Diceros bicornis minor: one gene and its partners. The protein of the gene in region 1 interacts with the protein of each later gene in a pairwise test. Links are inferred from orthologs where the notes say so. Each region holds a gene or a part of one and is shown in the gene's direction. Other genes may lie near its edges. The genes, in order: WASL, RHOJ, RNF8 and ARPC3.

Region 1 (7,598 bases):
GCACTGAGCTCATATTTTGTTGTTGTTGTTATAACCTTTGTAGTACTATCTTATTTTTTAGATTATGTGCATGGATCACTTTTATAAAACTTTTATAAAACTAAAAATTGATTTAAAAAACGTTATATGGTAGAGGACACCATATGCTTCACCCCAATACTTTCAGTGAGGTAATGGGGACAAATGGCATCTTCAGGTTATCACAAGTATCCCGGCTGCCTACTCATCCATAATGTAAATTGACCTTGAGCACATTATAATAAAGAAGCCAATATTTTCTCCCTCTCATCTGGAATAATTAAACTGAGAGCCACTGACTATTCATTAAAGGTAAAGAGCAGTGGCGAGAAAACCAGTAAGTGGCATCCTGGGTACTGTAACATATTTAGCTCTTCAAATCATTTCTTGAATAAATGTGAATAAATACATAGATACCTATATATTAGGTATCTGGAGATGAGGCCATACAGTGGTAGTAACTATCACTGGTAATTCACTAGCGCAAATAAGAATTCAATTTTCCATTAACATCAATAAGAAATCAAAATGAATTGTAAATAAGCTATCTATTCCTAAAAAAGTAAGCCCCAAAGTGGCTTGTACTCAAAATGAATTGTAAAGGGAGAGGGAGAGAAAAATAGTTGGCTAGCTTACTTTTCAAGATCTTAGTTGATAAAAAATAAAATAGTTAACATTTAACTTCGGAAAACAAGTACTAGGACAAATTCTCTTCAACACTGCTATATGCAACATTTACACAAAAATGTGCAGGGATTTTTTTTACAACGTAAACATTTTAAACCCATGACACTTGGCGGATGCACGGGGGAAGTGACATTCATCACCCTTGCAGTATCCAGGTTTGCTGTTGGCTCTAAAATTCCGTTCTGCCATAATCAGGCATCATGTCAGTACCAGTAATTATGGCTACAATGGCTGCTGAATGCCATAGATCCCTGCGTGCAGCTCCTTCCATGCTCCCCTACAATGAAGGGGGTCACTACATTTTAAACTATTAATATTAGCATGGGAAACAGGGTGTTTCAGAGCACTTGTAACAGTACACAAACAATCATATTTATAAAGAAGAAAAGTAGATTAACAAAGAACGAGGACAGGAGAAATTTGCAAAGTACAATGATAACAGCAGGGAATGCATCTGAAAATATGCCCTCATTTCCATAATTAAGCTACTCTAACGTTTTCTGTTAAAATGAGGACTTTACCTCAAAGGATCATGGCAAAGAAAGAAGAAAATAAAAGTACTAGAATAGATTCTAATTGAGTCAAGGAAAGTCAAATGGAAGAAATTAAACTTCAGAATTGCCTTATTCTTAGTTATATTTATAGACATTTTAATACAGCATACGCATTTTATATATGTATGAAGATAAACTCCCTACAGTTTTCTTAACCTAGCTTACAAACTTCAAGATACTTAGTTGAAGGGAAATAGAATCCTTCTCATTTCCTGGATCAAATCCAGTCTCTCAAACTGGGTAAAAAGAATTTGAGATAAGAAAATAACTTGCCAAAGAAAACAGAGAGAAAGATGTCTTGTGTTCCGCCAAATAGAGGATATGCTATCAAGAATGAAAGGAAGAAAGGACTTGCTGAAACTTTTGAAACAAATACAGCCAGTACTGCCTGGTCTCAGGATGAACACAGAAAAATAGAATCCTTGTATGCATGGTAAGGGGGCATAACCCCAAATATTGCCTGTGCACATACTCCAAAGAGTAAGGAAGTCATATTTCCAATGCAATGTTCACGCTTACATTTCCCAGGTTTTAAGAACAAGGAGTTAGAAAAAGCCGAGAGAAAAGGAAAAATAACAACGGAGTAGGAAATAAGAACTTATATGGCAATTTTGTAGACAAAATGCCGTATTTAAAATTTTGAGGAAGAGTTACAGAAATGGTTTGGGCTTGAGAAAAATGTCTATGGTGGTTACAATTTTCAATCTTCATTTCCAAAGAAAAAAGAACAAGGGCAAATAGTCAGAAAATTGCACTTGGAAACAGATTAAAATATTAAAATTTTCCTGAAACAAAGAAAAAAAAAGCAATTAAAACAATAAATAGTCTAGGCCAACAAGAGGTTGTGAAATGATTGGAACTCAGTAGCTCTCAGCATGGGACAGATTCCTCATTTCATAACTACTGTCCATTCACTTATCCTCCCCTAGCTTCTTTTTTTTACAGCCCTCTTCCACATCTCTCTCTCTACCATCTTCAAAATAGTTGGGTGGACTAAAAGTTTTAAAAGCTGGCATTCTAGCATAAAAATTGCTACCTTTCAGTTTTTATTAACTAGAAACTAATATGATTCTGTCTCTAGATTTATAGTTTTGAAAGTTTTGTTATTCGGTATACTGGGACATACATAGCCAACGTGACATAATATATAGCCTAATTAGAAATTCTCCTAACAAATTATGCCCCAAATTCACCATTATATATTTAGAGAATTACATACAGTTCTAAATATGAAGGACAGTTTTCGAAGTATCAGGCTTAGAACAAAGGTAAAAATATACATCTCCACTCTTGATCCCTTAGCTAAGAGAAGGCAGAGCAGACCATAGGCAACGATGGTTAATGACGGACAAGTAATATTTGAGTAACCACTATGTATCAGGTACTTTACATATGCTATCTTGGTAAATTTTACTTTGAAGTAGGTATAATTATCTCTATTTATACTACACCTTTATTAAATACAAATTATTTTCATTTTACGCATGAGGAAACAGAGACTTGGAGAAGCAACTCCTCCAAAGCTTACGAGGTAGCGTATAAGGTTTTAAGTGGAAGAAAAAGAACTCCAATTTAGGCCTATCTGAAGCCTGTTCTTGTTACTATCCTGATTCACACGTTTGAAGATATTAGGGCTCTAACTTCTATCATTTCTCAAGAATTTGCAATGCTTTCCACTATCACTCTGGTTTTAATTTATAGGAACCTCACTTTTGATAGAAAAAACAAACTGATTTATCTTCTAGGTTTATTTTGCTAGCTCTGTAATCCAGAGGCAACTCCAAGTTTGCATTTCTACTATTGCCTTTCTAAACTCAGTTATTTTCTAAAAAAGTCCACCAGCTGTTTTTAAATCACTTTTTCCCTTAACATTATTAATCAAGTTTAATTTTGAAATATCCATAGTTTGTGTGAGGACTCCCAGGACTACATGATCTCATTTTCCTTTGTAGATTTACTCCTACTTAGCTAATTTCATCAAAGCCAGTTTTAATTTAAAATTTTTGTAATATTTTCAAAGTGCATCGATAATAGTTTATCAATCTGTTTAGTCCACCCGAGATTTGTATTGGAAGCTATCAGTGATATTAAAATCAAATCGTTTTACCAAATTTTATTTGGCATAGAATGGATGTCTTAAGTTTAATAGATGGTAACTTCTTTGTTTATTGAAACTGAATAATTAGCAAACATGGTGGTCCAGTTTATCCAATAAATGCTAATTTGTTTAAAGTGGAGAAGTCAGATGCTTATTCTATAGTTCACAGTAGTATCGTTTATCATTTCCATATTCCAAAACTTCATTTTACAACAGTTGTTTAGTATTTAACTTACTGAATAAAAGGGGTTATCTTGGGTAACGTTCAATATTCTGAGGCATACAAATTAAAAAAAAAAAACACCTGAGATTTACTTTTAAGGATTAAACCAGATAATCTATTTTCCTGTCTGACATCCCGAAATGGGCACATTCATTTTGGATAAAAAGTAAACAAGGGCTTCGGGGTTTGAGAGAAAAAGGCAAGAAAGGGAAAAAAAGGAATATTTTCCAACTCACAAGACAGAGGGAAAAAATGTGTTCAGGGCCCGTAAGAGAAAAGACGTTGAAGTCAAAGGTTACAAATACATTTACCCCATGTGACACACCAGGCGGGCGGTAGAAATCTTTTCTACGTGCGTTTGTTTTTTGTAACATCTATCAGCAAGATCTCTCTTTCACAATACTGGGAGAGGCCTGTTTGTTCCTCCACTCCCACTGCTGAAGTCTGGACAAAGTTTGAGAAACCCCAAGCACCTGCGGCTCTAACCGAAACCGGCGAGCAGCCCAGGGAGCCCGTCACTTCTCCCCAATTTTCCGTCTCCAGCTTCCAGACCTTTTTCAAATGCGGTGTGAACATCCGGGTTCCGCGCCCCAGAAATAAGAGCTATTCCGGGGAGGGGGGCCTAGGGCGGCGCTGACGCTTCGTAAAGGTGTACGTCTGCAAAAGAGGAGACGAGCATCCTCCTCTCTCCAGGCGGCAGCCGCTGGGGCCGAGTTCCCAAAAGACAAGTCAAGAGGCCGGTTCCGGCGCCCAGAACCGCAACCCCGCGTCTGATCGCGCAGCCCGCGTCTCGACCGGAAAGGGGCGGGGCCTCGGGCCGGCGCGGCGGGGCCGACCGCGGCGTGCGGGGGGGTTCCTCCCGGGGCCCGGTCTGCAGCCGCGCGTTTCCGGCGCGCTCCCCCGCGTCCTGCGTCCTGTGGTCTCGCCCGCCCCCGCTGCCATGTTGGATTGTGCGGCCGCCGCCGCCGCCGCCGCCGCCGAAGGAGGGTTGGAGGAGGAGTTGGGAGTTTAGCGCAGTCGCCGGAGTCCGAGGACAACGGCCATCCGGCCAGAGCCTAGCCGGTCGGGAGCGGGGAGCTTCTCTTTCTCGGCGCGGCCCCCGGTCGGCTGCTCCTTCTCTTGGCCGCCTTCTCCCCGCGCCGGAGGAGCTGCGAGATGCTGCGCCTCTGACTCCCCTCCTCCCGCCCTGTCACCGAGAGGGGGGACTAGCGCTCGCCCACTCGCTGGAGGAGACGGCCCTGGACGCCCAGCCCAGCCGGCGAAACCATGAGCTCCGGCCAGCAGCAGCCGCCGCCACCGCGGAGGGTCACCAACGTGGGGTCCCTGCTGCTCACCCCGCAGGAAAACGAGTCCCTCTTCACCTTCCTCGGCAAGAAATGTGTGGTCAGTGGCCGAGACCCGCGTCCCACCCCCGACGTTACCTCACGGGCCGGGCTGGCGGGCCGGGAATTGGGAGTGGGGAAGGAGGCGGGAGCGGCGCGGGGACGGTCTGGCTGCCTCTCAGGCCTCCCGCCGGCCCGCGCCCCGGCCCCGCGTCGGCGCACTGGCCTCGCTCCCCGGGTGCGAGCAGTGCGGGCCGGGGCGGCCGGACGCCGCTTCCCGGCGCTGCCCGGGAGCAGGGAAGTGTCACCTCCGCAGGCCGGCCCTGGAGCCCTGCTTGGCCAGGCCCGGGTCCGCGCCCTTGCAGCTGGTTCAAACTTTACTTTCAGGCCACACGGGGATTTTCTTCTTGCACGAGCTGCTTAGTCTTAGAAACTGGGCCCTGTAGCTTCACCTCCTGCCGCTCGATCTGGGAGTACCTTCACAATGCCAGAGGTTTCAGGAGTGTGTAGGTCGGGGAAGGAAGCCCAAATATGAATGAAGCGGAACCATAAGGTGGTTTTTAATCCGCCTTTCTGATCTCAGGAGGGCATGAAGTCGAGGGCATCGGTTCAGAACGAGGGCAGGAAATGCTACCGCTCCCCATTGCAGAGAAACAGTTTATTTCTCCAGCAGTCTCGCCCAGGCCTGGTTTCTACTCTCCTCCCCACTGATTTTTTCCTTTGCATCGGTGGGAGGTGCTGCTCTCCCCATAACCGTGCGCAGGGGAGCCGCAATCTCGAGTAGTTCTTGGCCTTTTGGGGCCCGAGAATGGTTTTTAGATTGGTGCTGTGCGGCCTGTTCCAACCCCAGATGGCCGGTTGGGAGCAAGCAGTTCTGTGGGAAGGGGAATGTGTTTTGTTGACGGAAGCATTCATTACATTGGCTGCTGGCACTTCTGGGGGTGGGGAGGTTCTGCTCGATGGTGCAGGCCTTCGTAGGCTGCATCTTAACTGCGGTGGCTGGGTGGAACTGTGGTTGAGTTTGTTGAAACGTTGTTTGGGTCCCTTTCTCCCCTCTTTGCTTGTTAGAACCTACAGAGTATGTGCCACTGGAACCCAGGAAACACCTAACGAAATGTCAACAGCGCAATACTTTTTACAACTTTTCTTAGTGTTAAATGTGTCAAGCCAGACTACACCTGCTTGTTCAAGAAGTTAGGATTAGACAATTTCTGGAGGTTATCGGATTAATTGTTAACTTGATAGGAGTCTACCCTTTGTATCCTATGCCATCCTGTTGGAGTTTGAATCATTACATTCAATTCAGATGTGTTTCAAAAGTTAGACCTACAACTTTAAAGATAATCAAGCCTCCACCCTCCTCCCTTTTTTAAACAAATGAGAAAACTGAGCCAGTGAGCCCAAAGTCACACAACAAGTTAGTAATGTAACCAGAAACTCCTGATGCCTAGTCGGTTGTGCTTTCCACTGCAGCACGTTGTTTTAGAAGGGTTTTTTTCTTGTTATGGACTTATTTCTAAAAGTGGTGTTGAAGGAGTAATCACTTCTTTTTTTGCACCAAAAACTGATATGATTAAAGTGTAAGATTCTTAAAGAAGCACTAATTTTTTCTTATTTTCCATTTAGGGTAATCTCGAGCACGTTGAATGTTATATTATCTGCAAATGAAAAAAAAAATTTTCTGGTTTATTACATTTGCTATGTAATCTGTATTAGAAATGAAGTAGTTCTATGTTTTACATACCAGATGCAATAACTTTAGGCAGGAAGGACATTACATTTACGCACAAGTATACTAACTAATTGCTCTTTGCTTACCTGTAATGGTTACTGGTTTCAAAAAATGACAGATGTGGAAGAATACTGTGATAGAGAAAGATAGTGTTGCTTACTGTTTAGCATAAGTGAATTGCTGAATAAGCTGTCAGTATTCAGTGCTCAATTTCTTTATGTCATCTATTATTAATCAACTTTACCTTTTGTATTTCTGTCATTTAAAACCACACTGTTATAGTTACCTGCTCTTGTGGTATGAAATTGTTGCAAAGATTAACTTCAATATTTGAAGTCTCCGATTATTAGAGAGTAAAGTAAGAATGATATTTTAATTTTTTGGAACAATGTTTTTTTCCCTTTGCTGACTATGCTGTTTTTTGTAGTTTAAAACAACACTGAAATACATGGTCTCATAAAAAAATCCAGCAATAAGATTTACAGGTCAGACCAAATTTGTTAAGCAAGAAGTGTAGTCAGAACCCTATCTAAGATTCCAGAAATGAGACAGGAATAGTCATAGTTAATAGTCCCAGTTCTCGAGTTTCATTCCTTCTCGCACTCAACAGATATGTATTGAGTAACTAAATGTTGAAGTTGATGCTTGCCCTCAAGGAGCTTACTGTGTCTAAAAAGGAAAACAAATGTGTAAACTGATGAAGTCGGTACTTCAGAGTGATGTCTAAAACACTGCATGTAACAATGGAAAATGTCTTGGCTTTGTAGTCAGCAGACCGGAGTTCAAACTCATGTAGTCACTTTGGACAAGTTTCTTAAGCTCCCTGTCCTAGAATTGGTTTTCTCATCTCTAAAATAGGGATACTGTCTCATGGGGTGGTTGTGTGAATTAGAAGGACTGTATGTAAATATATGGATGCTGTTATTTTTATAAAGGTTTAGGGGATCAAAAGAGAGGATGAGTA
Region 2 (7,434 bases), on another chromosome or scaffold:
CCCTACTCCGTTGCCTTGATGGAGAAACAACCCAGCACCATCTCAACCTCAAATTTCTCCACCTTCCAAAACTTACCACTCCAATTCCGAAGATCAGGAATCAATGGGAAATTTCCTTCTAAACTATTCCCTATCTCCTGATTTTCTGGATTACGTGAACTTGAAAACTCCCTAACCTCTGGGTTTCTATGGAGGGAGACCAAAAAAAAAAAAAAAAATAGTCAGATCACCCACAGGACTCTCTTGCTCTGGGACAAGGCTTTGTACTCAGAGTTAAGGTACACAATAGTGAAACACAGAAGAAACACATGCATACACCTTTACCATTACTGGCCAAATCAGCCTCTTCTTAGGACAGAAAGAAGTCCCCATCTACCTGACTTTTGCAAGTAACCTACTTCTATCAGAATTAAGAGATTTGGCAAAGAAAGAAAAGCCCTCCGAGCAAGAAAAAAAAAGCTGTTCTAGAAGTATACAAAGATCATATCCAAGAAAATGTGGCAGATATATGATTATGATATGGTATGATATGGTATATGATAACATGGGCAATAGCCAGAGGCTGAGTACAGGTGGCCCCTGACAGATAAAAAATGCAGATACATGATGGCAATGACCCACCCACCTTAAGGAGGGGCAGTTCCAGTCCAGACCAGTCCTAGGACAACCCGTTAAGTTTTAGCAGTGCCCCAACTGATCTTGAGGTTTAGGCCCAGTGGGCGATTTGGGTCAGAGCCTCTAGAACTACGCAGCATCTCCTGCCTCACACCATACCCACCACCACCGGAGGCCTGACATCCATATGAGCCCTAGAGAGGACTTTCTCTGGAACGGGGTGACTCGTGACTAGGCTGGGCATCCCAGAATCATAGCAACCACAGCACATCCCACATTCAAAGACTGGAGTCAAAACAGTCTTTTCCACAAAGGCTAACCCAAAATCAGAGTGTCTGGTCCAATTGCATTATTTTCCCATGTAACTTCTACTTTCGAGCACAAAAGAAGGAAAAAAAGAGAAGAAAAGTCTGGGCTTTTGTATTAAAGTCATACTAGAACTGGAAGTAATCAGAGGAGTCAGAATTTTATGCAAAAATTCTTTGTTGGCATTTGGGAAAATTCATATGAAGCCAAAGCTCAGAGGACAAGAGGGAGCCAAGGAATTAAGATCTCTTGGAAAAAGCAGGAAATATCGCCCAAAACGATTTCACCATGTACTGGTAAGTTTGTGTAAACTTGGTGCTTGAGGTAAACCAAATAATTAATGGCTATGAAACCACCACTCAATCATCCACATGGCCAGAGATCCAAAAGTACAGGCATCTGGTAAAGAATATTTTAGCAAACGGTCTTCATACCACTTCTAAATTCATACCTATAAACTTTGGAATTAAAGTGTATTCTTGACCATTGTGCCTGGGCACAATTCTGTGGACTCACGGACCTATAAGATCAATGCTGAATTGTCTTTACTTTTCTTTTTTTTAAGATTCTGTTACTCTGTGTCAGGTGAAACTTTTAATATTTAGAAAGATTTATTCTCGTATGGACAAGGCCATCCATATAATCAGCAGGCTACTAAATTTTAACTTTTTTTTGCCATTTTCACTAGGATGTCTCAAATAATTTTCCCTATAAATATTCGATTGTGGGGGTGGTAAACAGTGATGAAGCAAGTTTATTTCGAGAAATATAGCCAACATTCTCAATGGCCATGACCCATCTTTGCATGTAATCCAGTCTGGCAGATGTGCCAATCCTTTGAGTTAGAGGGAAAGGACCCATGACTGGCTGCTTCCAGTCTCCCAAACGTCTCCATTTGCAGTTCACATAGCAATCGTCATGGATGTAAATATCTGGGTCTGATGGAGCAAAGTTTAGGTTACACACAGATGTAGCAAAATTTCACCTGATCCAATTTCTCAATTTTTTCCTAGGTCAAGTGCTCTGTAGGCTGGGGTGTATTTGTGATGTAGGAGTACCCGCTGAGCAGCCACGTTTGAGGACTCCATATTTGAATGGAGTATTTACTCCATGCCACATTTACTGCCTGACCTCAGGGACAAGGCCAAAGTCAGAACTCCCTCAAAGTTCTGCCAAACACATATCAACACGTGCTGAAAGTGGTCTTGTGCATCTTCAAGATGCACTTCTTCACACTGCCAATCACTCCTTCACCTGCTGCCACCTTCACACTCAAGAATTTTTTCTAGAAGAAAACGTGTTTTCAAGTTGCAATTTTATCATCACATATTCCAGATGTTTCAAATAGACTAAATGAATATAAAATTACGTAAATCACGTGCAGTCACAGGTGCCTTCAAATAGTTCAGAATGGCAATAAACACAAACAATTCCATTTCGTATTGCTAACTTAACCTCAACTGAACTCTCTCAGTCATTTAGGCTAGTCAACAATATTGGTTCTCTCCTTCCTGGTACCAGGAAGGATGAAAAGTGGCAGGATTATAATTCTGACTCTGTTGAACCCAGCAGGGACATGTGACCTGCTTTGGCCAATGAATGTGAGCAGAAGTGTCACCTCTGGGGGAAGCTTTAAGAGCCAATACCACTTCACCACATTAATTTCTTCCTCTGCCATGGTGATCATCAATATTCTCCATGTGGCTGCTCTACCGGCCAAGATCCTTGAGTGAAGATGACAAAAATACACAAAATAGATACAATATGAGCAAGAAATACACCTGTTACTTTAAACCTTTGAGCTTTGGGAGTTGTTTGTTACAGCAACATAACCTAGTAGATATACCACAACCTGACTGAAACACCATCCCTTTACAGGAAAGAAATCTCAGGACGCTAAGCACAATGGCAAATGTTAGTATAATCCAAAACAGAAGAAATCTGGGGATATATCTATTATACAGTAGCATATAGATGTGTATATATATAATTGATACCACCTATTGAAACACTTCTCTCCCACTGCCTCCATAAAAAAAAGACCTCCTCAAATCAATTGGGTAATCTGAGTTCTTAAAAATAAGTGGTCAAAAATCTCAAAGAAACAGAACTCCCCCATCAAAAAAGTACTTGACCCATTTGTCAAAATCATTTGCAGAGTACCACTTCTTTTCTAAGACCAAGTACATTAATCAAACGCAGAGCTTCAAAGGGGCTTCATTTTGAGCGACCCAACAGACAAATAAATTAGCTGCCAAGTGCTCCTTTGTAATTGAAGAGGGCCAGGCTGACCCAAGGGGAGAGGACTAAATCAAAAAGAGAACGATCCATGCAAAAGCAGCATTTAGGGACCTGAAACAAACCAATAAAGCTGTCCCACACACTCTCATTTCCAAGAGTGTGAGCCAAGCACATGTGTGTTTATTCACTAATAAGAAGATGCAAACATCCCACATCTGATTGATTTCTTATGTGCTACAACCATAAAAATGTTTGTGTCTGGAATACACGTTTGCACGTTGTGCTCAAATGCGGCAGCTTATAAACGTGATCACACATATTATACCTATGACCCACAAAAATGTTTCCCTTCGGAACAATGTAACTCTCGAAAGTTCTCTTCTTTATTGCAGGGATGACTTGCTTAAGGTTTCTCATTCAAGTGTGTGAAGAACTGTCCATTTTTAATTTACAGAGCTTTTAACTGGTGACTCAGTGAGGGATGATGTCATCTGTTATCCTACAACGGCTGGTGTGGTTCTCTCTGTTCACTTAAACCGTTCCCTCTGTTTCTGTGGCAGACAGTCCTCCCCAGTTTCCATCCTTTCGTCAGCTTCTTCCCAGCCAGCCACAGGCAAACAGCCTCCCCAGCAGTGGATGAAACAGGAAGTCTGACAGCTTGAGCCTGCAGCGGGACCCCTAGTGTTTTCCCACTCCATGTCCTGGCAGCGTTCCCCCGAAGTACAAACACACACACAGAGCTCCTATTGTTGAGCCTTCCCCAGCCCACTGATCCTAATATGGAATGCAGCAGGAAACCCATGATTTCCTGACACTCGGCAAGCTGGAGGAAGCGAGGGCAAAACTCCATTAAAAAGCCCAGCCTTCCTCCATGTTAGATGTGAAGTGGAAAATGGGGAAGATTTAGCAAAATTCCACTGTGTCTTCCGCCAGGCTGGAGAGGGAGGAGAGCAGAGTGAAACCCTCAGGCTGCTGAAATTTCCAGACTGCCAGGAAGCCCCGAGAATTTGGTGAAAATGAGGGTTTCTTAACTCAAACTGATAGGGAAAAGGAACAGACCCTTTGAATAACTCTCCCAAGTGTGTGTTCCCTTTCTTTACCAGTATGGTAAGCAAGAGGGCATACGCCAGCCGCCTCAGACAAGTCTGTGTGAGCCAAGGTCCTCAACGGAGGGCAGAGCGATCTTAAGCCTGCCACTCGCTTCCCGCCACTCCATGGGCTTCGGGAGGAGCAGGGGAAGCAACAGCAGCAGCACAGGCGCAGCAGCTGGAGCCTCGAGAATGAACTGCAAGGAGGGGGACGGCAGCAGCTGTGGCTGCGGGGGCCCCGAGGAGAAGACGATGCTGAAGTGCGTGGTGGTGGGCGACGGCGCCGTGGGGAAGACCTGCCTGCTGATGAGCTACGCCAACGACGCCTTCCCGGAGGAGTATGTGCCCACCGTGTTTGACCACTACGCAGGTAAGAAAAGGTGGGAACCTGCCCCTGCAGACGGGGTGAAGCACGCGGGAGGCAACAGCCCAACCTCAGAGGGGCCTGGCTTCTTGCTAACGTCAGTACTGGGTGCAGGCCCGGCGGCAGCCAGGTGGCTGAGCGTCACACACGACCAAGCACTTTGCCAGAAGTGTTAGCAGTTCTGGACGTCAATTTGTATTGTAACGCTTTCTTTTCCCCTTAAATCAGGGAGTGACGCTGGGGAAATACCCTGAACTGCCCTCTAGGCTTTGGGGCCAGAGATTTTACTCAACATTTGCCTGAAGATTCATCAACTTTTTATTGTGAACATTTTAAAATGTAGTGTAATTGCATCACAACTCTTTTTTACCAAAAAAAAAAAAAAAATCACCACTAACCACATAAACAGTGAAAGGAGTGTTCTTGCCACTTTTCATGTATTCGTCTCATGCCATTCATAAATGCAAATGCTGAGATTAACAAACACTAGAACACTCATTTTTCTATAACAATTGGTGCTGTGTTACTATTCTTTCATTTTCCTGGAGCTGTAGATGGAGGGAAAAGCATTCAATATCTGTTAAGCAATCTATATCTTGAATTAAAAGAAACGTCTTAAATTGATATGTCTTTAAAAGTAAAAATAAAGACAAAAATAAAATTTGAATCATTTTAAAGTATGTCCCAAAATGACAAAGTTGGGCAGAAAATATTTTAAAGCATGAAAGTTAAGATACTGTCGTCACAACTTAATTCTTTCAGTGATTTTTTTTTGGGGGGTTCTAAAGCTTGTAGGTGTGCTTGTCAGTGTGATCGCTTATCTAAATTTTTCCATTTGACTCTCAGTTTTTTTCTTAATTTCCAAAACAAATATCATTAAGTTTGTCAAAAGCAAGTTCATGAAATTCTTCAAGTTTACAGTTGCCTGTATTTTATAACTCTTTTGAACATAGTGATCAGCTTGGTGAATTATCAGAGATTTGAGATTTTGTAAGAGGAAAATTTCTCCCCTTTCACCATGGCCTTGGGTCAGGTTCAGCAGAGGGGAAACAGCCCACAGGAAACCTGTGTGAGTGTTGGCTTTGCTATGTGGCCACAGAAGATCCTCTTTCTGTAGGAAGTAGCTTCTTTTCCAGAACTAAACAGTCACCTAAGTCCCCTCCTCCTCCTCCATTTACACGATTTATGACAATATTACACCACAGACAGGGAGAGAACCACAGTGAAAATAGTATCCATTTCCCAGCACATTTTTCTATATTTGCAGAAATTAAGAGCAAATTTGAATGCTGGCTGCCTTAAGCTTTTCTGAAAATATAATGACTACCCCCAGAGAAGAACATTTTAATGAGAACAGAATAAAGAGAAGAACAGGTAGACTTTCACTTGAGGAAAAAAACTTATTATAAAATTAGGAGGTCTGCAATTTAAAAAAGTTACTGGGATACTAGACATGTAAACATCTTAGCAAAGGTTATCTGTTCTATACCCTCTTTCTGCCAGGAAAGGGAAACGGGCTGGGACCTAATTTCAAAAACTTTTAGATCAAAGGTAGAACCCAAAATCTACTAAAGGGAGAAATTGCAAGTGTTTTGAAAATTATGTATCCCATCCCTATCTATTGGGTGAACCAATTACAGAGTAGCGTCAGGAAGAAAGAGGGCAAAACCATCTTTGGAGATAAAGATAGCCTATTGAAAAAACACATTAGAGACCAAACAAAGACTGAGCCACCACTAGATTCCACTAGGATCAAATTGTTTTATATTTCACTTGTGTATATACTTACTGTTATTTGAGCATCAAAGCATCTTAAAGATTTTGGCTACTCTATGATTTTAGCTCTCAAGAAATCACAGCTACTGAATCCAAAGCAATACTTTGCACATAGTAGGCCTTCCCAAACATTGTTGCTTTGTTTTACACTTTGTACTTTTCTAAGTACACAATCATCTCATGTGGTTTCAGTCAGGTTGTAAACGAAATGAAGACACGAGCCACATCCGACATTTCTGTTAGCGGAGGGATCTTCGCCAGCTCCCTCTACCACCACCCTCCTATATGAGCTGACTGAACCTAAATCCTTACACAGTCACAAGAGAATCTACAATCAATTGTAAAAGAACTAACGCTCTCTTCTTCACATGGAGAAGTATCCAGTATCCAGTCACCGGGTCCTACCAGCTCATTCTGAAGTGACAACCTGCAACTGGTTTACTGAGTCATTAGAACATTGCAGTTCAAGTCAAAGAGATCCTATCCCTTGAAAAAATATTTTTCCCTAATAGCTGCCCATCCCAGGAAGGTAGGGACATAATAGTAAGGATGGAAGTACAGCGTAGTGCTCAAGATGGTGAGCTCTGAAGCCAATGGGCCTGGTTCTAATACTGGCTCTGCTGTTGCTGTGTAGCCTTGAGCAAGTTACTTAACCTCTCTGTGCCTCAGCTATCACAAATGAAAAAAGGGACAATAGAGGTATTAGGATTGTTTGTGAGAACAAAATAAATTAATACATGTAGCTCTTAGATCAGTGCCTTACACGTGATAAGTGTTAGGTGCATGGTAGCTATTATTATTAAGAACAAGGTCTCTACACTTGCACACAGCTATGAAAGGGAATTAAAATATAATGAAAAGATAAAGAATACAACAAGGAAAAATATAATTCCAAGAGTATCCTCCAAATGGAGTAGGGTGTGATGGAGTGTATGTCTTGTCCTTATAATATAGTTACCAAATGTACTGATAATTGATAAATATGGTGTATTAGTAATTGCTAAATACGTCCACATAGAGTAATAGTAGTGGGACATTCACTTG
Region 3 (7,853 bases), on another chromosome or scaffold:
ATCATCATTTTAATTCATTTACTTGATTTCTAAGGTTTGCCTGAGACAGCTCACTGTCCCCCAAAATTCATGCTTCCCTTTCCATAGTATAGAGTTGTTTCTGGGAACTGGCTGATCAACCAGGGACTACGTTTCCCAACATTACTTGGATCTAGGTGGGGTCGTGTGTCCAGTTCTCTCCAATAAAATGTGAGCAGAAGGAATATGTGTCACTTTTGGGACAAGACAGTTAAGAAGCAGGTGTGCCTTCTCCATTCTCTCTTTCCCTGTTTTGCTTTCTGGATGCAGAGGACCCCAAGCCCTGAAAAATAGAGAAGCCATAGGATGAAAGTAGTCCAAGTTCCTGAATGACTTAGTGGAAGGCTGTCCACCGACCAGGAACACTGCACTGAACAATTACGTGAGTAAGGAATAAACTTCTATTGTGGTAAACCACTGGAATTTGGGGTTTGTGTGTTACAGCAGCCAGCATTACTCTAATATATAAAGCACACAATCAACAACTGTCCAAGAGCTCCTCTGCCACACCCTTCCTGTTCCAGTTTTGTATTGCCGCATAACAGAACACCCCAAAACTAAGGGGCTTAACACAACCATTGTATTATTTTCACAGACTCTGTGGGTCAGGAACTCAGATGAGGCACAACAGGGATGACAATTCAGGGATCACTATTCCATGATGTCTGGGGCCTCAGCTGGAAAGACTCAAAGGCTGGGGGTGACTCATGGTCAGGGGGCTGGTATCATCTAGGGGCACCTTCATTCCCACGTCTGGCAGTTGATGCTGGATGTCAGTTGGACCTCAGTTGGAGCTGTTGGCCAGAATTCTGTATGTGGCCTCTTCCTGTGTTCTCTCCACTTCCTCACAGTGGCTGGGTTCCAAGAGCAGCCCAAAAAGGCCAGGTGGAAGCTATCACCTTTTATGGCATAGCATCACTTCTACTGGAATCACATGCCCACCTAGATGCAAGGGGAGGAAATAAAGACACCATCTCGCAACATGAGGGGTGTCAGTGTCACACTGTAAGAGCAAGTGGGATGGGCGAGCTTGCTGTAATCATCTTGGAAAATAATCTGCCACACTTCCTTTCCGTATTTCTGTCCTCCCTTTCCCTTTCTTCTTCTTGTCCTGTGCTTCCTCCTCTTCTTGTTGTTTTCCTCTCCCACTCCCTAAGCCTCTCCATTGTCAACTCTTTCTAACATTCCTCAGCTCTGTTCAGTTAACATTAATTGAGCACATGTAATGAGCCAGGTGTCAAATCCACAGATCTAGATAACACCCTACTTCCTTTTCTGCATCCTGCTCTTTCTCCTCAATTTTTCCCTCTTGAGATGGATATAAGGCAAGGTTTCTTAACCTTACTGCTATTGACATTTTGGACTGGATATTTCTTGTTGCAGGGGCTGTCTTGTGATTTGTAGCATCTCTGGCTTCTCACTAGATGCCAGCATCACCCCTGCCCCTGTCATAACAATCAAAAATGTCCCCAGACATTGCCAAATGTCCTCTGGGGGGCAAATCACCCCCAGTTGAGAACCACTGAGATGAAGGAATATAAAGGGGAGGTGGAGTTAATAAAGTCTCCATATCTTAGAAGGCAGTGTCTCCAAACTGTTTTGATCGTGCACTCAGCAACAAAACAAAGTCTAAGCATACAGCCCAATATATGCATATTTATTTATTCATATAAAGTCTATGCATATCCTCTATGTTGTTCTTTTATTTGAGTATAAAATATTCACAAAAGTGGACATTTTTAAACGAATGGAATTAAAACCTACTTAGACATCCTGATATATTCTTCCACAAGCAAATGGGTCATCTTGGGTGCTCCCTGGGGTATGGCCATTCCACCTTACAGACCACTGCTAGACTCTAATGAGTGCAGCGTTTGGGGCTCTATAGAGAGATCCAGGCTCACAGCTCTGGCTTCAGTTTCCTGCACTGCCATTTACTAGTTGAGCTTCATTCATTCATTCATTCATTCAATAAAAATGTCAGGAATACAGTGGAAATTAAGACACACCCTCAAGAAGCTCATGGTAAGGAGATTCTTGAGTAAACCACTACACATGTATGCTGGAAATGACGATTAAGTAAATGGATGGCGATAGTGGGAGCCAGGCTTCTCACTTAGGTAATGGAAAGTTACAGATAAGCAAGGGGGGAATGACTAGAATGGTCCAGGTGCCAGGTGGTAATGCATTAGAGTTGTAAGACATCAGTATGCACATGTTTAGCTTACAGATAGAGATAGACAAGTATGTATATGTATGTATACATGTGTTGTTACATACATACATACAATATATATGCATACATACATAAATATTCATAGATATATAGATATAGAGGGGTTAGTAATCACATATATATTTACTTGCTCTGTCATCTAAGAGAGCCTAGAAGCAACAACATTCCAGTGGCAACGAGCACACCTAGTACCCAGATGTTGGTTTCTAATGTTCAATAAAACACAATGATGGGAGTAATGTGGCCAAAGTAGGAGTAATTTGAGTAACAAAGTGGTTTTGGATTATAACCCAAAGTATCAAGTAAGTATCCATGAGTCCATACTGATATAAATAAATGACTCAATAAATAAATGGGGGAGAAGAGACAAATATCCTATGCAGAAGAATTTCAAATAACTTACACAGATACCCTACCCTTAAGGAAGTGGAGCATAACTCCCCACTCCTTAAGTGTGGGCTGTGCATAGTGACTTCCTTCCAAGGAGTACAGTATGGAAACGGGGGGAAAGAGTAACTTTACACTCCCTCAGCCAGGTGATCAAGATTACCATCAAGAGTGATAATTCATGTTGATAGCATGTACCCGTAATATGATATGATGAGAATGGCATTTTACCTCTGTGGTCTTCCTCCCCAAAACCTACAGTCCCAGCCTAATCATGAGAAAAACATCAGAGACATCCCAATTGAGGGCCATTCTACAAAATACCTGGCCAGTACTCCTCAAAACTACCAAGGTCATCAAAAACAAGGGAAGTCTAAGAAACTTCACAGCCAAGAAAAGCCTAAGGAGACATGCCAAGTAAATGTCAGGATGGCCTCTAGGCACACTTGCTGTTCCTGGGACAGAATGCTAAGGTGAGGTACAGGCACCCACAGACACCCATCCAAAGCTTAGGGAAGCGTCTGCATGAGTGTGCAGTTACAGCTCCCACCAATTTTCCTGACCCTCTTTGACATCACAGGCCAAAATTCCTGATCTGGCAGTGCCACGCAGATAAGACGCTCCTGGCTGGGCTTGCAACCAAGGTTAAGAAATTAGGTTCTGGGCTGGCCCGGTGGCGCAAGCGGTTAAGTGCGCGCACTCTGCTGCGGTGGCCCGGAGTTCCCCGGTTCAGATCCCGGGCGTGCACCGATGCACCGCTTGTCAAGCCATGCTGTGGCGGCGTCCCATATAAAGTAGAGGAAGATGGGCGTGGATCTTCCTCAGCAAAAAAAGAGGAGGATTGGCAGATGTTAGCTCAGGGCAGATCTTCCTCACAAAAAAAGAAAAAGAAAAGAAATTAGGTTCTGAAAACAGACCTGAATTGGCATCCTACTCCACCACTTAATTTGTTACTTTGAGAAGATTACTAAACCTCTCTGTGCCTCTTCTGATCATCCCTAAAGTAGGAATTATAATCGTAACCACTATCATCCTATTGTTTGTGAGGAGCAAATAAGATAAAGTATGTAGGGTGCTTGGCTTAGTACTTGGCACTTAGCTCTCAATAAATGTTAGCCATTTACTTTTGCACTGTGTTTGATTCATTTAGTATGTATATCTTCTTCTGACAGAATTTAAGAAAATCGTTAACCAGGTATTGGAAAATCGAAAAGCATTGAGTTATCAAAGAGGTATTCACTACAGGGAGCAGCTACCACACTGCACTGGCGAATCAAAAGGAAAGAGTTTGAGGTTTTTTTCTTTTTTGTTTTTGTTTTTTAAAATTAACAGCTTTATTGAGGGTAATTTACATACCATAAAACTCATCCACCGGAAGTGTACGTATGCTTCAGTGACTTTTTTTTTAATAATCTTATTTATTTTTTCCCCCAAAGCCCAGTAGATAGTTGTATGTCATAGCTGCACATCCTTCTAGTTGCTGTATGCGGGACACAGCCTCAGCATGGCCGGAGAAGCAGTGCGTCGGCGGGCGCCCGGGATCCAAACCCGGGGCCGCTAGCACCAGAGTGCACGCACTTAACCTCTAAGCCACAGGGCCGGCCCACTTCAGTGACTTTTTAGTAAACATACACAATTGTGCAATCATCACCACAATCCAGTTTTACAACATTTCTATCACCTCCCAAAACTCAAGCCTATTTGCATTCAAACCCAGCTCCCACACATAACCACAGGTAACTGTGCTTTCTGTTTCGATAGATTTGCCTAGTATATTTTTAAAAATTCGTTAGTAAAAGGAGCTCGTGCAAAATAGATGCTATGTAGGAGCAGACTTAGATTTAAAAATTATCACAAATTTAAAGTTGTTTAAAAGTTATAGTTTTAAATATCCTGGAAATCGTCATAAAGCAAAATTTAAAAAAAGAGAAAAAGGGAGAAGTTCTAGTTCGGGGCAGCTAGGACTGGGGTGATGGTTCTCGAGAGGGTGTGACCAGAGTTTTAGAATGCCTTGGGCGACCCCGGCCACACCTGGGGCTAGGTGCCTCCACACCTGCGCTGCCAGCCGCGGCTTCCTCTCGCGCAGGCGCAGTGACTCCGCGTGCTGGCCTGAAGCCAGCAGGGCGCGGAGCCCGAGCGAGTGTTCGCATCGATCGCGGCGAGCGCGTAGCGATTGCTTCTGTCTGTTGTTAGGTATGGCGCCCGCGAGGAAGCGTAGAGGCGGCGGGAACCTGGGTCGGGGTCTCGCTCTGTGTTGACCACGACCCAGGGCCGAGTGGGCTATGGGGGAGCCCGGTTCCTTGGTTACGGGAGACCGCGCCGGTGGCCGGAGCTGGTGTTTGCGGCGGGTGGGGATGAACGCCGAGTGGCTGCTGCTGGAGGATGGAAACGAGGTGAGGGGGAGGGGTCTTCCCGAGGCGAGGGAAGGGGGTTGGAGGAGGCAGGGGCCGGAGGGGGCCAAGGCGTCGGCGGGAGGGGTGAATGGAAAAGAGGAGGTGGGAGCGGGGAAGAGGAGAGAGACGTGAAGGGTGGGTCCTGGGGGAGAGAAGGGAGAAGGGGGTTCTGGTGTGAGCGGTTGGTGGCTCCGAGGTGGGAGGTGGGGGGAGGAGCAGGGACCGCGGAGGAGAAAAGATGGCCCCTTTGAGGGAGGCCTGGGCCCGCGGCGCGAGCAGGGCAGGGGGCCGGGCTGCGGGAAGGAGCCTGGTAGAGGGGCAGAGCGAGTTGAGGTGGGCGTAGAGGATGTGAGGACCAGCTGGGGTTTCGAGGGGAAGGAGGCGGCTGGGTTGGGGAGGGGACCGGACAGCCGTGTTTGGGTCGCTCGGAGCCCTGCGGTGTCCTCCACGGGCGGCGGACCTGTGAGGCGGAGCTGTCCCAACTTCCCGGAGAGTCGCGAACCGCCCAGGGGCCGAGGGCTGCGGAGCCGGAAGGACTGCCGAGAGCGTGAACTTATCGAGTTTGTTTTGAAAACGATTGCGAGTTTCGGGTCACGTCCCTTAAAACACTCTGACTTTGTTGTAAAAATCTCTCTTCCTTTCCAACACTTGAGGAAAATGGACGCTTTAGGGTGGCCACATTTGTCCTGTGAGTCTGGGTACTGGGTACCGCCGAGTGGTACCCCCTGGGTGGGGTCGGGAGTAGGGATTCAGAAATACAAGCGTCTCTTCTCCAGAGGCTGCTTATATTGTTTTCTAATGTAATAAATGCAAAATACTTAAAAAAAATTTTTTTTAAAGAGGAAAGGTGAGGCACCGTTCCGGTTGGAGGCCCTAGGACTGGAGTGGTGGTTCTAGAGGGGGTTATGGAAGAGGAGGCAGAAAATTAAGAGTGCAGTCAGCTTGAGCTGCTGCACTTGAGCTTGAGCACAAGCTGGATCAGGGACCAGCTTGTGGTAACTGAGAACCATTTGGGTTTTGGAAATAATTTGTATGACAGATAAAGAAGTCTTTTGATTATTATGTATGTTTAATTAGATTTATCCTGTAAACTATACAGTCTCAATTCAGTCTCCCAGGTATTTATGGAGGACTTACATTGTTTGGCGTGCTATAAGAGAGCCAAATAATAATGACTTCTGCCTTCAAAGAGTTTGTCGCTTGAATGGGGAAAGAGGATTTTATACAGTGAGGCAGTCTGAGAAGGTCCAGGCAGGCTGTACGATCAAGTGCCAAGACGTGGATTACTTAGTACTATCCTAGAGGAGGGGTTTCTCAAGTCAGAGGAGGGATTCGCGTCCAGCCTTAAATGTTGCTAGATTAGGGGGTTATAAAGGGTTACTTATATGCTGTGATTTGAAGAACACCAGGAAAACACCTCTGCCCCTAAATCTCTCTTCTATCCAGGTGTCATTGCCTAAAAGTCCACATTAGGTTTTCATTCTTTTAGCTTGAACATTGATCTTTTTCTGCACAACCCCTTCCAAAAGCATATACCTTTGGGAAGTTTAACAAGTTGAAGATACTAACACCTGAGTAATAGTAGCTATACAGGCATACCTCAGAGATATTGCCGCTTCGGTTTCAGGCCACTGCAATAAAGCGAGTCACAAACTTTTTGGTTTCCCAGTGCATATAAAAGTTATGTTTACACTATACTGTAGTCTGTTAAGTGTGAAATAGCATTATGTCTATAAAAACAACACATACCTTAATTAAAAAATACTTTGTTGCTAAAAAATGCTAACCATCATCTGAGCCTTCAGAGAATCATAATCTTTTTGCTGGGAGGGGGCTTGCTTTGATGTTAATGACTGATCAGGAGGGTGGTTGCTGAAGGTTGGAGTGGCTGTGGCAATTTTTTTTTCTTTTTGTTTTTCACTTTTAACAGCTTTTTTTTTTTTTGTGAGGAAGATCAGCCCTGAGCTAACATCCATGCTAATCCTCCTCTTTTTGCTGAGGAAGATCCGCTCTGAGCTAACATCTATTGCCAATCCTCCTCCTTTTTTTTTTTTCCCCAAAGCCCCAGTAGATAGTTGCATGTCATAGTTGCACATCCTTCTAGTTGCTGTATGTGGGATGTGGCCTCAGCGTGGCTGGAGAAGCGGTGCGTCGGTGCGCGCCTGGGATCCGAACCTGGGCCACCAGCAGCGGAGCACGCGCACTTAACTGCTAAGCCATGGGGCCAGCCCTTAACAACTTTTTATTTTGGAATAATTTCAGACTTACAGAATGGTTGCATGAAAAATACAAAGACCTCCCAATACCCTTTCTTTAGATTCCCAAAATGTGAAATTTTACCACTTTTGCTTTATCATTCTCTCTCTATATATATACATGTATGTAAATTTATTTTTTCCTGAACTATTTGAGAGTAAAATGCAGATATGATGCTCTTTTACGCCTAAATACTTTATTAGGTGTTTCCTAAAACAAAGACATTCTCTTACATAACAACAGCACAATAATAAGATCAAAAAAATAGCGTTGATACAATAATACTATCTAACCTAGAGACTTTGTTCAGATATTACCAGTTGTCTCAATAATGTCCTTAATAACGAGAGGAAGAAAATTATTTTTCTGGTTCAGGATCACCCATTGCATTTAGCTGACAAGACTCTAGTTTCTTTTTTTTCAAAATTATTTTATCGAGGTCGTAATGGTTTATAACATTGTGTAATTTCAGGTATACTTTATTATATATCAGTTTCTTTTTTTTTTTTCAAGATTATTTATTTATTTATTTTCCCCCCAAAGCCCCAGTAGATAGTTGTATG
Region 4 (7,039 bases), on another chromosome or scaffold:
CAGGTTGGAAAAGCACAATCCAGTCCCATTTCCTTGCAAAGGAGAGGAGGATGGTGGTAGGCTGTGGGCTGGCTGGTCAGTAGTTTAATTTAGAAGTAGTTATTGGCAGTAGCTAATAAATTAACTGACATGTCTCTTATTCCAAGCCATTTTGAGAATTCAGAACTATCTGTGCCCTTGTAAAGTATCCAGTGGTTATTGAATACCTAGAAATTATTTCACAGATATTATATATATGTGTATTATATTTTCATAGATAAATACCTATGAAACAATGTCTAGTTATGTAATAAGTTAAAGAATGTTCTAGTAGGTCGGAGATCAGAAAAATCAAGGATGATTTGCTGTTATTCTGTCTCTATCTACCCCTCCTCCCCCTTCCCTCCCACAGAAATGTTTTTAATCAGAAGTATAAATGGTTATAAACTCAACTATAGATTGAAAATTAAATATTTTGTACAACTTCAGAATGACCCTTTCTGAAATCCCCAACTTGTAGATTGATGACTACAGCATGGTTCGATTTTTGCCTTACGATCAGTCAGATGAAGAAAGCATGAACATTGTATTACAGCATATTGATTTTGCCATTCAGTATGGAGAAGACTTAGAATTCAGAGAACCAAAGGTAATTTTTGATTATTGGCTTTCGGTAAAAATGTTTGCCAGCGCTCACTGGCCTCCTGCATAATCCCAGCAACTCTTTAAATTAATTTTTGTCTTAGTGGCAGCAGTAACCTTGGCTTTTCTGGGTGATCTCTGAAATTGACACCTGGGCTCAACAAGCAGTGTCAGTTGTACCCTACCTGTTATCAAGGCAATATTATTGAGTTTTCTTTGTCCTCACAGCTCGGGGGTGTGTGCAAAGAGGAAGTGAAATCCAGTTGAACTTGGGCTGCCTTCACATATGTCAGTGGAAAGACCAGGGATAGTTGTCAGTAGGGCGCTGTCACAGCAGATTAGCTGAGAATTGGCGTGAGTGTAAGCTCGAGTAAGATACGCTTCTAATGAGATGTAGCGCTTGAGTTTACCACATATCTGGAAAAATACTGTCAGTCATGCCTTTTGTCACTATAGACGACACGTGGAACTGCTGCTGGGCGTTAGCTCCTGGTAGAGCATGACCTGGAAAATGTCAGCACACACTTGGTCTAACTGAGGGGAAATGATATATTTTCTATTTTGTGTTTCCTTTGTGTCAGGAACATGAAGATGAGTCTTCTTCTATGTTTGATGAATATTTTCAAGAACACCAGAATGAATGAAGAGTTTATTAAAAGTGACTATATATATATGAAGAGCTTGTGACTGAACCAGCAGAATATTCTTGTCTTCAAAGGATGCAATACTAGAAAGCTGCTTATTTTAATGAAAAAAATAATACTTGGCTTTTTATCAGCAGCATGCCTGAATCAAGTTCTGAGTTATTCTGAAACTGCTGCTGTTTAACAGCAGCAATTTAGATTTTAAAAGTCGAAATTGAAATGAATGCACATAGATTTGTATATAATATAAATTAGTCCCTGTGGTACAGTTAAGACCACTCTACCTTTATTTTTATCATTTGTTATTTTTGAAGGTTTTTTGGAGGGGCAGAAGTTATTGTAACAAATATACATATGTGTGTCCAAAGGAAAAAATCCAGAAGAATATAGATAAGATCATTGCTTATCTGTATCTTCCAGTTTCCTACATTGAAAATGTATTATTTGTATAATTAAGAACTGAAAAGTAACTATGTTTTAAGATATAAATGTATATAAATAAAAGAAATAGAAAGATAGCACTAACTTTTCATTACACTCTTGTTTTCCAGTCAGAATTTAAAATACTCAGCCAGGACAAATTTTTGAATGAGTCAATTTCCCCAAGCGTCAAAATGTAGGCAGTGATTTCTTTTAAAATGTTTGTAGTCTCTGAGCATTTAAACATTTATACTTTCCTTGAATAATAACAGATGCACACAAAAATATAAAAGACGTAATTTTTTCTTTTTAACTTCCTGCACATTGAATTGTTTATTTTCGGTATTTCTGAGTTCATTTGGGTTGGGTGGAAAGCATGAGGAATGACTGGTCAATCAACAGGTATTTCTCTGGCACCCACTGTAGGCCAGGCCCTACTAAAGCAAAGCGGAATCTCATTTATCGAGTTCTGCCAGGCATTGTGCTAAGAAGTGTTTTACATAATCTGGTTCATTTAATCCTCATAGCAGGCCCAGGCTCCATTACTCATTTGGCACTGGATCTTCCAGCTGATACAAATTAATCCCTTATAGAAAAGCTGCAACTCAGGTTAAATTTTTAATCATTCTTGGGCCTAGATAGCAGAAGTACACCTGCAGTGTCACATTGGATCCATTTTAATCAAAGGCAAAATTGTGAGGAGTCAGCCATCAGGGGTAAGTTGTGCCTGGAGCCCAGGCTCGGGGCAAGAGTCAGGTATTTGCACCAGGGTGCCTTAATGTGAGTCTTCTCACAGGGGCAATCGGGAGCACGTGATGAGTGGGCAACCTGGGGATGTGCTGTCCTGCCTGGGGACTTTTCCTGTGGCCTTTAGTGTGTAGAAAGTGTGAAAACACCCTGAGCTCCTCATGTTGCTACTTTTTAGAAATTTTATTGTCACATGAGAGGGGAAGAAAGAAAAGGCAACTTTTCATTCACCCTCCTCATTGCTCCTGGAGCTGTACCTCCCTGGTTTAGCTTCTGGAGAGTCTGGTTTGTCCCTCTGGGCAAGAAGTGAAAGGCCAAATTCCATTTCCTTCCCCTCTGAACACTGGGGTTTCAGAATGAATATGACAGTTCCAATCTTCAAGGATTTCCCTGTCTTGTAGGAGAACCTGACGTGATTCTTCAGACAAATTTACTGGTGGGAACCAGGCACTGAGGATAAAATAGGAGCACTCAGAGCAGCAAGGCCCCTCTCATGGAGCTGAGGTGCTGGGCTCTTGAGACTAACCACAAACAAGGAAACCTGATAAGGAATGGGAAGAACAGAAAACAGTAATGAACTGGGGAGTGACTAAGGGATTACTTTGGGCTTGTTGTCAAAGAAGCCTCCTAAAAGGTACTATTTGGCCAGAGCCCTAAATGAGAAATCAGTTGTGGGAACATGGGGCAAAATATTCCAGTCTGAGGGACTGGCAGAAGAAATGGCCCGAAGCAGCAATGAACTTGGCTTGTAACATGAGGTGATTTCTAGTAACCTCTCTGTGCCTCAGTGGGGCCGTGCGCTTAAAAACGCCTGAGCTTTCAGTATCTTCCAGGCATTTAAGTTCTAAGCACTTTACATGCAATTCGTTTCATCATCACAAAACTGAGGTAAGTACTGTTATCTCCATTCTCAGGTAAGGAAACTGAGGCACAGAGAGGTTAATTAACTTGCCCCAAATTACACAGCTAGCAAGTATTAGAGCTGAGATTCAAACCCAGAGTCCACTTGCTCAACCATTACAGTACTGCCCCATTGCAAAGAATTGCAGTGCGGAGTAACGCACAAACCCCTTCTTCCCTGTGCTCGTTTCCCCGTTGTTAAAACCAATGGGTTGGGTTCGTTCACTCACTCAATAAGTGTTTATTGGTGCTTACTATGTACCATCACTGTTACAGGCGCGGGAGATACAGCAGTGAACAAAACGGACAAAATCCCTGCCTTTTTTACGCTCATATGGATGGGGAGACGGAGACAAACACCAAAAGTAAACTAGATAATAAAAGAACCATAAGAACTAAGGGAAAGAAGGGTGAGGCAAGGGGGTGGAGTGGGGTTGAATTTAAAATAGTGTGACGCAGGGAATGCTTCACTGAAAAGCTGATCTTTGAAGAAAACAAACGAGGTGATTAATCACTGGGATTCTGTAACTCCCAAACCCATCCCCACTGCGCACACGCCTCACGCATGCGCGACACGCGGTCCCTGCCTAGTGCTCGGGCGCCCCCTGGCGCCCCTCCGGATCCGCGCAGCCGCAGCAGCCAGCGGCGCGACAGCAAGCCCGGAAGCGCCGCGTCCTCCCCTCGCCCTCCCCTTCCGGCTCACTTCCGCCTACCCCGCCCGGGCCGCCAGACCGGAAGCGCCGCGCTCTAACCTGTCTTCCTTGTCTGGCTTGAAACCCGGGCGCCGCCGAGATGCCGGTAAGGGGGCCGGTCGGGGTGTGGGGAGGCGGCGAGAACTGGGGAGAGCGGCGAGGAATGGTGCGTGCGCTGAGACAAGCGGGCCGAGGAGGGCGGCGGGGAAGCAGGGGCCTGAGGAGGAGAGAGCGAGGGCAGGGGCCGGTCCCTTGGAGTTGGGGCGCCCGGGGCGTCGGCCGTGGGGGCGGGGGCGCGGCAGAGAGGGCCAGAGACCAGGGGCGTGCGGAGGAGGCTGCCCCGGTCCTTTGCACCCCCTTCTCCCCAGTCCCGATCCCTTCTCTCCCCCTTTCTGCACCCCGACTCCGGCAGGGTCCCCAAAGCCTCACTAGCGCCGCGAAGCCAAGGGCTGCGCTTTTATTTTTCATTTTTCAAGTCCGGGGTCCGGCTTCTCCTTTTCGCCTGCAGGCCCACTTCCTCCTCCGCCCCAGGGGGCGGGTCCCTCCCGCTGCCTGTCGTCTGCCAGACCCCGCTTCCCCGGCTCCTCCCCTGTCGCCCCGGCAGTGGCGGCCACCCCTGAGCTGCTGGGTTTAGGGCCCCAGAGCAGACTCGGGTCCGCGCCTGGTTTCCAGATGTTTCTGTTTTCTTGTGCATCGGGAGTAAAATTGATGGTGGTCTGATTGCTCTTAATTTCTGACAGCCAGCCTCTGGGGTAGATTTATCACCGTCATGGTCTCCATTTTGCAGATTAGGAAGAAGCTTCAAAAACGTGACTATTCATACAACAAACATTACTGAGCACCTGCTGCATACCAAGCACTGTTACAGCAGAGCATAAGGCCAACAAATAGCTCCTCTGAAGGAGTTTACATTCTAATGAGGGGACAGACAATAAACACGTAAACGTAAAGAAAATGAAGGAGATGGTTTCAGACAGTGACAAATGCTATGAAGGAAATACCAGATGGGTAACAAGACAGCAGCTGCTGAAGGGGAGGGTGGCGGCTGCTTTAGGTGAAGCAGACCTGTGATGAAAAGGAGCAAGCCATAGTTACAAATGTGTATTTTATGAATCCCATAGCTACCATTTGACTCCTGATGTGTGCCAGGCAGGCCCTGAGCTGCACACTTCATATAAATTATCCCATTTAATCCTCACAGTAACCCTAGGAAGTAGATATGTTGTTGTTTTCTCATTTTGCAGAGGAGGAAACTGAGGTTCAGAGAAGTTAAGTAACGTGCCTGAGGTTGCGCCCAAAACGGGTTATAAGCCGGGGACTCTAAAGCCCGGTGCTTATTCCAGTTGCATGTAGAGCACCCTGGACTTCCCTTGTGATTGCTTATTTAATATTTGTCTTTTTCATGAGCCTGAAAGTTCTTCAAGAGTGGAAACCATACTGGTCTTGCATCCCATTATATCATGGTGCCTTGGATGTAGAAGGTGCTTAGTAATCGTTTGGTGAATGAATAAATATATGAATGGGGCCCATGTTGCCTTACAAAAAGCCAGACATTGTGTAAAAAGCGGAACTACGAATCAGCCTACAAATTGCTCTCGTTAATGTGATTTTTTTTCTCCTTCTTTAACTCACACCTGCTCTCTGAAGGCAGTATCTGTCTCTTCATTTTACAAATTTAGAAACAGGCTGAGAAGAAAAGTGATGTCTTGGTCAAAGACCAAGCCAGGAAGTGGCAGACCTGAAAAGCCACTGCTTGGGTTCTGGCTTAATAGCAGCTAGGGCGTGGGTACCCCTGATTAATATAGTGTTTGCCTACTTCTGTAGTGTAGATACTCCCACCAGGTACCAATGTGATGTTACTGAACATAGAACGGGAAGAGATGCCCAGTCACATCCCATTATATAGTATTTCCACCATAAAGATACAAAGACATAAATAACCTTAAGATCATAGACAATAGTGAAACAACTTTTAAAAATAACAAGTAGTGAATTTTGAGTATTCATTACCTTTGTTTTTAATACTATTTTTTAACTGCAAATTTATATAATTTAATTTTTAATAATGGCTGTGTTCAACAACCAACTTGGCTCAAAATTTCTCAAAATTTAGCAGTCAGTTTTCATGAGCCAGTAAGAGCCAGCTCCAGCACGTCGATGCCACTATCCCTCTGCCCCCTCCCCTGGTTAATCTTGGGTGGGTTGCTCTTTTTTTCCTTTGAGGAAATGTTCTTGTCTGCTCTGCTGACGTTGCTCTCTGCTTCTCTGTTCTTACCTGGCTTGCCACCACAGGCTTACCACTCTTCTCTCATGGACCCCGACACCAAACTCATTGGAAACATGGCCCTGTTGCCCATCAGAAGTCAGTTCAAAGGACCTGCCCCTAGAGAGAGTAAGTTGAAACCCCTTTCCATTATTTTCAGATTTTGGTATGAAACATCTAGCAATGCTCTGATATTACCCAATTGGGGAAGTCCTGTGCCTCAGATTGCTCTTGTGTTTTCTTTTTTTTTTTTTTTTTGTGAGGAAGATCAGCCCTGAGCTAATATCCATGCCAATCCACCTCTTTTTCTTTCTTTCTTTCTTCTTTTTTTTTTTTTTTTTTTGCTGAGGAAGACTCACCCTGAGCTAACATCCGTAGCAATCTTCCTCCACTTTATATGGGACATCGCCACAGCATGGCCTCACAAGCGGTGCCTCGGTGCGTGCCTGGGATCCAAACCCGGGCTGCCAGCAGCGGAGCTCGAGCACTTAACCACTAAGCCACGGGGCTGGACCCGCTCTTGTGTTTTCTATTTGCTTGGTGGATATTGCTTTCTAGACCTTTCAAGATCATGGGTATATGTTGCATTTAGTAGGAAACTGTATTATTGCTGCTCATTTCTCCAGGGTATTCTATCGAGGGGGAAAAAAATGCTTCAGTCGTGACACTGTTCCTATCATCTGTGAGTTCTTTCAAACTAATCTAACACTGCTACATCTGTAAAATGCCGTGTCCCTGTCCTTTCTCTGTCA

The links.
Region 2: the proteins of WASL (region 1) and RHOJ interact in binary tests that used the Homo sapiens proteins (3 or more experiments, as listed by UniProt). The two-hybrid records come from large-scale screens. The link is inferred for Diceros bicornis minor from reciprocal best matches to the Homo sapiens genes WASL and RHOJ.
Region 3: the proteins of WASL (region 1) and RNF8 interact in binary tests that used the Homo sapiens proteins (3 or more experiments, as listed by UniProt). The two-hybrid records come from large-scale screens. The link is inferred for Diceros bicornis minor from reciprocal best matches to the Homo sapiens genes WASL and RNF8.
Region 4: the proteins of WASL (region 1) and ARPC3 interact in binary tests that used the Homo sapiens proteins (3 or more experiments, as listed by UniProt). The two-hybrid records come from large-scale screens. The link is inferred for Diceros bicornis minor from reciprocal best matches to the Homo sapiens genes WASL and ARPC3.

Annotation. Positions count from the first base shown.
Region 1 is NC_080742.1:73,551,421-73,559,018, reverse strand, and holds the start of WASL (actin nucleation-promoting factor WASL), read left to right. Parts: upstream 1-4,594; 5' UTR 4,595-4,846; coding exon 4,847-4,963; intron 4,964-7,598. UniProt on the Homo sapiens protein: Regulates actin polymerization by stimulating the actin-nucleating activity of the Arp2/3 complex. Involved in various processes, such as mitosis and cytokinesis, via its role in the regulation of actin polymerization.
Region 2 is NC_080763.1:12,449,252-12,456,685, forward strand, and holds the start of RHOJ (rho-related GTP-binding protein RhoJ), read left to right. Parts: upstream 1-4,427; 5' UTR 4,428-4,442; coding exon 4,443-4,620; intron 4,621-7,434.
Region 3 is NC_080753.1:27,699,395-27,707,247, reverse strand, and holds the start of RNF8 (E3 ubiquitin-protein ligase RNF8), read left to right. Parts: upstream 1-4,840; 5' UTR 4,841-4,923; coding exon 4,924-5,034; intron 5,035-7,853. UniProt on the Homo sapiens protein: E3 ubiquitin-protein ligase that plays a key role in DNA damage signaling via 2 distinct roles: by mediating the 'Lys-63'-linked ubiquitination of histones H2A and H2AX and promoting the recruitment of DNA repair proteins at double-strand breaks (DSBs) sites, and by catalyzing 'Lys-48'-linked ubiquitination to remove target proteins from DNA damage sites.
Region 4 is NC_080774.1:8,970,423-8,977,461, reverse strand, and holds the start of ARPC3 (actin-related protein 2/3 complex subunit 3), read left to right. Parts: upstream 1-4,032; 5' UTR 4,033-4,124; coding exon 4,125-4,130; intron 4,131-6,316; coding exon 6,317-6,416; intron 6,417-7,039. Other genes in the region: GPN3 (GPN-loop GTPase 3), read left to right, coding at 500-628, 1,203-1,265. UniProt on the Homo sapiens protein: Component of the Arp2/3 complex, a multiprotein complex that mediates actin polymerization upon stimulation by nucleation-promoting factor (NPF).